Callithrix jacchus: one gene and its partner. The protein of the gene in region 1 purifies or fractionates together with the protein of each later gene. This does not show direct contact. Links are inferred from orthologs where the notes say so. Each region holds a gene or a part of one and is shown in the gene's direction. Other genes may lie near its edges.

The links.
Region 2: the proteins of NDUFAF3 (region 1) and NDUFA13 purify together in Homo sapiens (co-immunoprecipitation; 3 studies listed by BioGRID and IntAct, with this or other methods). This does not show direct contact. The link is inferred for Callithrix jacchus from reciprocal best matches to the Homo sapiens genes NDUFAF3 and NDUFA13.

The regions. Positions count from the first base shown.
Region 1 is NC_133516.1:31,651,021-31,654,148, forward strand, and holds NDUFAF3 (NADH dehydrogenase [ubiquinone] 1 alpha subcomplex assembly factor 3), read left to right. Parts: upstream 1-1,194; 5' UTR 1,195-1,218; coding exon 1,219-1,295; intron 1,296-1,417; coding exon 1,418-1,610; intron 1,611-1,771; coding exon 1,772-1,838; intron 1,839-1,946; coding exon 1,947-2,047; intron 2,048-2,126; coding exon 2,127-2,243; 3' UTR 2,244-2,357; downstream 2,358-3,128. UniProt on the Homo sapiens protein: Essential factor for the assembly of mitochondrial NADH:ubiquinone oxidoreductase complex (complex I).
Region 2 is NC_133523.1:18,190,432-18,194,857, forward strand, and holds the start of NDUFA13 (NADH dehydrogenase [ubiquinone] 1 alpha subcomplex subunit 13), read left to right. Parts: upstream 1-1,420; 5' UTR 1,421-1,434; coding exon 1,435-1,528; intron 1,529-4,426. Other genes in the region: TSSK6 (testis-specific serine/threonine-protein kinase 6), read right to left, coding at 1-619. UniProt on the Homo sapiens protein: Accessory subunit of the mitochondrial membrane respiratory chain NADH dehydrogenase (Complex I), that is believed not to be involved in catalysis. Complex I functions in the transfer of electrons from NADH to the respiratory chain.

The DNA.
Region 1 (3,128 bases):
TTAGCCCTGTTGGTCCCGCGAAGCCTGGGCCACTGGTGCGGTGACGGTGGTGGGGCGGGCTTCGGAATCCGCCAGGAGGGAAGCGCGCCCGTGGGGCTGGAGAGGAAGTAAACCCAAGCGTCCGCCTCGGGGACACCCCCGCGCTTGGGGCTCTTTGTCCAGTGACGCTGCCAGCGCCCAGAGCACCAGGGGCCGAAGGGGCCCACACAGCAGCGGCGGGACCCCCAGAAACCTATTACGACCGCCCCCCAGGAGACCCACCACCAGGCCCCGACTGTGCCGAGCTCCCTGCTCGCCCAGCCCCGCGAGTAGCGAACGCAACAATGTTCCCCTGGGGCCACGACAGAGCCAGCGTGCCGAGATACCCAATCCCCGCGCGGGCGCCAACGACTCTCGCGCCAGTAGGCCCTTGACTTGGTTCAAGACGGGGGACTGGGGACTCCCAGGACGAGAGCAGAGTGAACGAGGACAAGGTGATGCTCCACGCGTTTCTACTTCAAGTCTGGTCCGGTTCTGCCCGGTCTGGCCCAGCCGAGCAGCAACCCCAACACTACCACAGCTTGCCCTTCCGCTTGCTCTGGCTGCCCGCAGACTTGGAGCTATTTTAAGGCGAAACCACCTGGCCACGCCTCCTGGAGCACCCGATAAGCCAATCCACGCTAGGCCACGCCCCTCTAGCGCGCAACTGAGAGGCCAACGGTCGCGCGGGTGACGGTTAGGGCGGGACTTGCTTCGGTTGTGAGCCGGAGAAACTTGAGCTGGTTGCCCCGCCCACGGTGCCTGAAGCCCCAAAGGCTAGGATTAGGGGCTCGAAGTCTGGCATGGACCGCCTGGCCAGGTGTTCGGTTCACGATTAGGTGGGTGGCTGCCCCGCCTCGGGAGCGCGGCTTAATAGTTGAGAGCCGGGGGTCCAGGCCGCAACTGCGGCCCACGCAACGCCGAGGGCGGCCACACTACCAGGTGTTCCACTCCCCTGGGACTGTGGGCAAGGACCCGGGGCGGGGCGAGGGGCAGGTGATGACATCGGAGCTGCGCCGGAGGCCGGGGGACTTGTCCTCCTCCCAGGACAGATGATATTCGCCGGCTGGGCCGGCCGAGCTGTGCCGTGCACTCCGGGACGCAGGGGGCGCTGCACCCGCGCTGGGTCAGCCTCCGCAGGGCCCCGCCAACCCGGTAACAACCGGCGTCAGTGACGACTTCGCCGCGCGTCGATCAGCCATGGCCACCGCTCTTGCGCTACGCAGCTTGTACCGAGCGAGACCCTCGCTGCGCTGTCTGCCTGTTGAATTTTCCTGGTGAGCTGGACCCCTCACTGTTGACCATCCCACCCCCTAGGGCCGGCGACTGCCACCCCGCACCTTCTGGCTTCTCGGGCGGCCCGTCCCGGCCCTGTGCCCCTGACCCGTTCCCTCCGCAGGGCCCCGCGACGGGGGCATCGGCTCTCGCCAGCAGATGACGAACTGTATCAGCGGACGCACATCTCTTTGCTGCAACGCGAAGGCTTTCAGACCATGTACATCGACAGTTACAACAGCCGCGGCTTCATGATAAACGGAAACCGCGTGCTCGGGCCCTGCGCTCTGCTCCCGCATTCGTTGCTGCAATGGAACGTGAGTCCTGACCCGCTGTGAGGAAACTGAGGTCCAGAGTCACAGGTCCTCAGCCTGCTTGTGTCCCTGTAGACGTGGCTTTCCTCTATCTCCTGTAGTGGATGGAGGTGGGGAGAAGCTGCGTAGATTTGTCGTACTGAATAAATCATCTCCCTGCACAGGTGGGATCCCACCAGGACATCACCGAAGAGAGCTTTTCCCTCTTCTGGATGCTGGAGCCCCGGATAGGTACTGGGGACAGGGGAGGCAGGGCAGAGGTGCTTTGAGCCCTAAAAGGCAACCCCCACTCCAACCTCTCAACAGAATTGTAGACTAGTCTCATCCTCACTTCCCTAGAGATTGTTGTGGTGGGGACTGGAGACCGGACTGAGAGGCTGCAGTCCCGGGTGCTTCGAGCCATGAGGCAGCGGGGCATTGCTGTGGAAGTGCAGGACACGGTGAGTCCTATAACTGGGGCCTGCTGTGGGGAGTACAGGCCTGGCACTAGACAGGCTGATTCTGGCCTTTTCTTTGCAGCCCAATGCCTGTGCCACCTTCAACTTCTTGTGTAATGAAGGCCGAGTAACCGGAGCTGCTCTCATCCCTCCACCAGGAGGGACTTCACTCACATCTTTGGGCCAAGCTACTCAGTGAACCACCAGGAACTGACCTGCTGACTACACTCTGCCAGTTCCCAGTGCTTTCACCCTTATCTCCCCTTTGGCATTTATCTTGCTTACCAACATAATAATTTATACACTTCTCCCATTTTGTATCAGGTGTGTTGCTGGCCAGGTGCTGCTGGCTCACTGAGCTCTTGGAGAAAAATGTGAAGAAACCAAGGGGTCACTTTTTCATCTAGATTACTTAGGATAGTATGTTTACCTGTTCTAGACCTTGCTCACATGCAGATTTCAGAGGACCTCAATGCCTTTTCTCACAAAATCACTGATTTTTTTTTTTCTCTGAGACAGAGTCTCGCTCTGTCACCCAGGCTGGAGTGCAGTGGTATGATCTTGTCCCACTGCAACCTCCACCTCCTAGATTCAAGTGATTGTCCTGCCTCAGCCTCCTGTGTAGCTGGGATTACAGGCCCCCACCACTGCACCTAATTTTTTTTTTTTTTGACATGCTGTGGGGTGATTTCTGCTCACTGCAACCTCTGCCTCCCGCGTTCAGGTGATTCCCCTGCCTCAGCCTCCCAAGTAGCTGGACTAAAGGTGCATGTCACCACGCCCAGCTAATTTTTGTATTATTAGGGATAGGGTTTTAATATGTTGCCACCTGCCTCAGCCTCCCAAAGTGATTACAGGCAAGAGCCACCACACCTGGCCGAGAGCTATTTAGGTTAGGGAATATGTATATGTCTTGACCTGGTCCTATGTGGCCAAGTATGACTTAGTAGGATGCCCGGTGGATGCCAGTCCCAGGGATTGTACTTTGACCCCTTGGGATCCAGAGGGGTAAAAGAAGCTCAGTGAGACTGAAACCCCAGGAGCCACAGCTGGTCAAAGCTGTTTTGTGAGCAGCCTTAGGAGG
Region 2 (4,426 bases), on another chromosome or scaffold:
TGACCATGACGTAGAGCACGACGCCCATGCTCCACACGTCGTATTTCTTGGGGTCGTAGGGGATACCCAGGAGCACCTCCGGTGACGCGTAGGCGGCGGAGCCGCAGTAGGTGGTGCTCAGGTCTGGGTAACCGTGAGCTTGGCGGCCAAAGCCGAAGTCTGTGAGCTTGACGCGGCGCTCGTCCGGGCTCAGCAGCACGTTTTCGCACTTGAGGTCGCGGTGCACCAGGTGGTGATCGTGCAGGTAGCGCACGGCGCCGGCGATCTGCGTGAAGAGGTCACGAGCCTGCACTCCGGGGATGTGCCCGTTGCGCTGCACGGCCTGCAGTAGGTCGGTGGCGGCAGCTTCCATCACAATGTACAGCTTCCCGTTGCATACCTCAATGAACTCGAAGACGTGCACGATGTGAGGGTGCCGCACGCCCCGCAGGATGGACAGCTCTCGCGGCAGGAACTTGTTGACGAAGTCCGGGGGCGCCCGCCGCCGGTCCACCACCTTGATGGCCACGGTACCCTTGTACTTCTTGGACGTGGCCACCTTCACCTTGGAGTAGCTGCCCTCTCCAATTGTGCGGCCCAGCTTATAACCGAGTTCGCTCAGGAGTTTGTCACCCGACATGGTGGCGCCTGGGGCGCACGCGGAGCAGGAGGCGGCTGCTGTTGGGGGGCGGCCGGACTCCAATCTCGGGTCTAACCCATGGCGCTTGGCACCTGCATCCCCGCACCCCCATGTGCCCACTGCCGCTCCTTGGCCGCTGTTACGCCTTTTATTGCCCCGTAACAATTTTTGCCTTGTGAAGTGGCCTCGGGCGTCACTCCGCCTTGGGGTCCGGGACCCCGCCCTGGGGCCACCCTAGCCTCCCTGCTTTGTGACTCATAATTACCCTGAATGGTCAGTTTCCGATGAGAGGCCACTAGCGAGGGATACCCACCACCACCAGGGAGCAGAATCCGCTCCTGGGATTGGGTTGAGTCCGAAATCGAGCAGCAGCTGTTCCCCAACATCATGTACCCAGCCCGTGACTACGTCGAGCCCTGGGCTTCCGGTAGAGTCCCTAGCGAGGGCTAAAACGGGAAAAGGGGCCTTAACTGGGGCACCTGGCTCTAGGGAGCTCCGAGTTTCTGACTGGCCTACACAACACCCCAGAAGCAAAGTGAACGCGAGGGCCTTTAATGCAAGAACCAGGGGGTCCTAGCGACTGAGACACGCCCGGTCTGGGGGAAAGAAGGAATAATGACTCCTCAGCTGCAGCCTAGCTGCGCATTCGGACCCAGGGTCAGCAGTCAGAGCTCTCAGGCGCGGTCGAGTAGTTACACTAGTCCCCGCGGCTTCCCAGCGCTGCGGAAGATGATCTCAAATGATTCCGCCACACTCATCATGGCGGTGGCACATGTCACTTCCGCCCGGAGCCGGAAGTGCGGGATCCAGTGAGTATGGCGGCGTCGAAGGTGAAGCAGGACATGCCCCCGGCGGGGGGCTATGGGCCCATCGACTACAAACGGAACTTGCCGCGTCGAGGACTGTCAGGTCAGTATCTCTCTGCGTCGGGGTCTCAGAGTCTGGGCACTCGGGACTCAGGGGCGGGGTTCCGGGGACACAAGCGGGCCGCAGTTTCCCCGGCGGTGTGACCGGAGGCGGAGTCCGGAGATCCCCCATAGCTTCTATAATAATAACAGTAACTGCTGCAGTTTGTTGAGCGCTTTCCCAGCTCCGCCTCCTTCTCGTAACAGCCCAGGAGATTGGTCCCTTTGATTATTTACATTTTACCGTAGGTTAAACTGAGGCATAGCCTGCGCCCTGGCCCTCGGCCACCCTTGGGTTTCTCAGATGCGGAAACTGAGGCCCAAAAGAGGCCGCGACTCCCCAAGGCAAGGCTAAGGCCGCAACCTGGAACCTGGGGGTAATTTACAAGAAGTTCGATGCGGTGGTTCCCTGCAGGCAGCCCCGCGCCTGCAAAGTGTCCCAGCAATCCTTATTCTTAAACTTTTCAAATGTTTTAGGTAGCATGTTAAATTTTGTTATCGGGCTCAACACAGAAGAATGAAAAAGAGAACTTAAAAGGTGCCCATACTCAGTCCCCAGGTTTAACAGACAAATACAAACCTTTAAACATAATTTAAGGGTGAATACATACGTTACTTTTTTTTTTTTTTTTTTTTTTTTTGAGACAGGGTATCGTTCTGTTGCCCGGGCTAGAGTGATCTCGGCAACCTCCGCCCCTTGGGCTCAAGCCATCCTCCCACCTCAGCCTCCTGAGTAGCTGGGAGTATAAGCCTGCACCTGGCTTTTTGTATTTTCTGTAGAGATGGGATCTCAACAGCTTGCCCAGGCTGGCTTGAACTCCTGGGCTCAAGTGATACACCTCTATCGGCTTCCCAAACGGATGGGACTACAGGCACAGCCACCTTGCTCTGCGGAATGCATGTCTCTTAATTCATCAAACTTTACATTTAAATTACATGTCATCCACATTATGCTTCGATTAGAAAACAACAACAAAAAAATGAGCATGGTAATTTAAAAATGTAACAATTCAGACAGTAGAAAAGTCAGTGTGAAGTGAAAAGTCCTCCTCAGCTCCTTCTTGGTTTCCTTTTATTTATTTTATTTTATTTTTTTGAGACGGAGTTTCGCTCTTGTTACCCAGGCTGGAGTGCAATGGCACGATCTCGGCTCACTGCAACCTCCGCCTCCTGGGTTCAGGCAATTCTCCTGCCTCAGCCTCCTGAGTAGCTGGGATTACAGGCACGCACCACCATGCCCAGCTAATTTTTGTATTTTTAGTAGAGACGGGGTTTCACCTCGTTGACCAGGATGGTCTCAATCTCTTGACCTCGTGATCCGCCCACCTCGGCCTCCCAAAGTGCTGGGATTATAGGCGTGAGCTACAGCCGGTTTCCTTTTATTTTTTATAGAGACGGGTTCAGCTGTGTTGACCAGGCTGGTCTCAAACTCTTGGGCTCAAGTGATCCTCCAGCCTCAGCCTCCCAAAGTGCTGGAATTACAGGCATGAGTCACCGCGGCCAGCTTCCCTTTTTGTTTTTCTTGTATCCCAGAACTGAGATTGGCAGACTTTTTCTATAAAGGGCCAGATGACAAGTATTTTGGGTTTGGCTGGCCAGAATGGTTCAGTTACTGAGACAACCATTTACAAATGGAAAGTGTTCTTAGCCTGAGGGCTATACAAAAACAGGCTGCCTTTCAGCCAGATGCCTCATGCTTGGAATCCCCACACTTTGGGAGGCTGAGGCGGGAGGATGGCTTGAGCCCAGGAGTTTATGACCATTCTGGGCAACATAGTGAGACCCCCACCTCTACCAAAAATTAAAAAAAAAAAAAAAAAAAAAGAGGCTTCAGGCTGGATCTCGCCCACGAGTCCTGTCCCAGAACACATTGGAGGAATATAATGCATTCTGAGTTTTCTCATTTTTCTTTGTTTTTTTCTGAGACAGAGTCTGACTGTCACCCAGGCTGGAGTGCAGTGGCCCAATCTTGGCTCACTGCAGTCTTCACCTCCTGGGTTCAAGCTATTCTCCTGTCTCAGCCTCCTGAGTAGCTGGGACTACAGTTGCCTGCCACCATGCCTGGCTAGTTTTTGTATTTTTAGTAGAGACAGGGTTTCACCATATTGGTCAGGCTAGTCTCAAACTCCTGACCTCAGGTGATCCACCTGCCTCGGCCTCCTAAAGTGCTGGGATTACAGGTGGGAGCCATCACACCCAGGCTTTTATTTTATGTTTTATTTTTTGAGGCCAACTCTTGCTCTGTTGCCTAGGCTGGAGAGCAGTGGTACGATCTCATCTCACTGCAACCTCTGCCTCCCAGGTTCAAGTGATTCTCCTGCCTCAGCCTCCCTGGTAGCTGGGATTACAGATTACAGGTGCCTGCCACTGCGCCTGGCTAATTTTTTTTTTTTTTTTTGTAATGTTGGTAGAGACGGGGTTTCACCATGTTGACCAGGCTGGTCTCAAACTCCTGATCTCAGGTGATCCCCCAGCCTCAGCCTCCCAAAGTGCTGGGATTACAGGCATGAGCCACTGTGCCTGGCCAAGTCTCATTTTTCTCAGGTGTAACCTGGTCTACCCAGGTTAGCTATCTCAGGTGTGCAACACAGGGTCTCTCTCTAAATGTGCACCTGTGAGACCTGTAGCCAGACCAGGCCACAGAAGGACGCCAGCCCTGGGGGCTCCCTGAGCTCCCCACTTCTAGCATCTCTCTTTTTTTTTTTTTTTTTTTTTTTTGAGACTGAGTCTTGCTCAGTCACTCAAGCTGGAGTGCAGTGGTGCGATCTTAGCTCATTGCAACTTCTGCCTCCCGGGTTCAAGCAATTCTCTTGTCTCTGCTTCCCAAGTTGCTGGAATAACAGGTGTGCCCCACCATGCCTGGCTACTTTTTGTATTTTTAGTAGAAATGGGGTTTCATGAT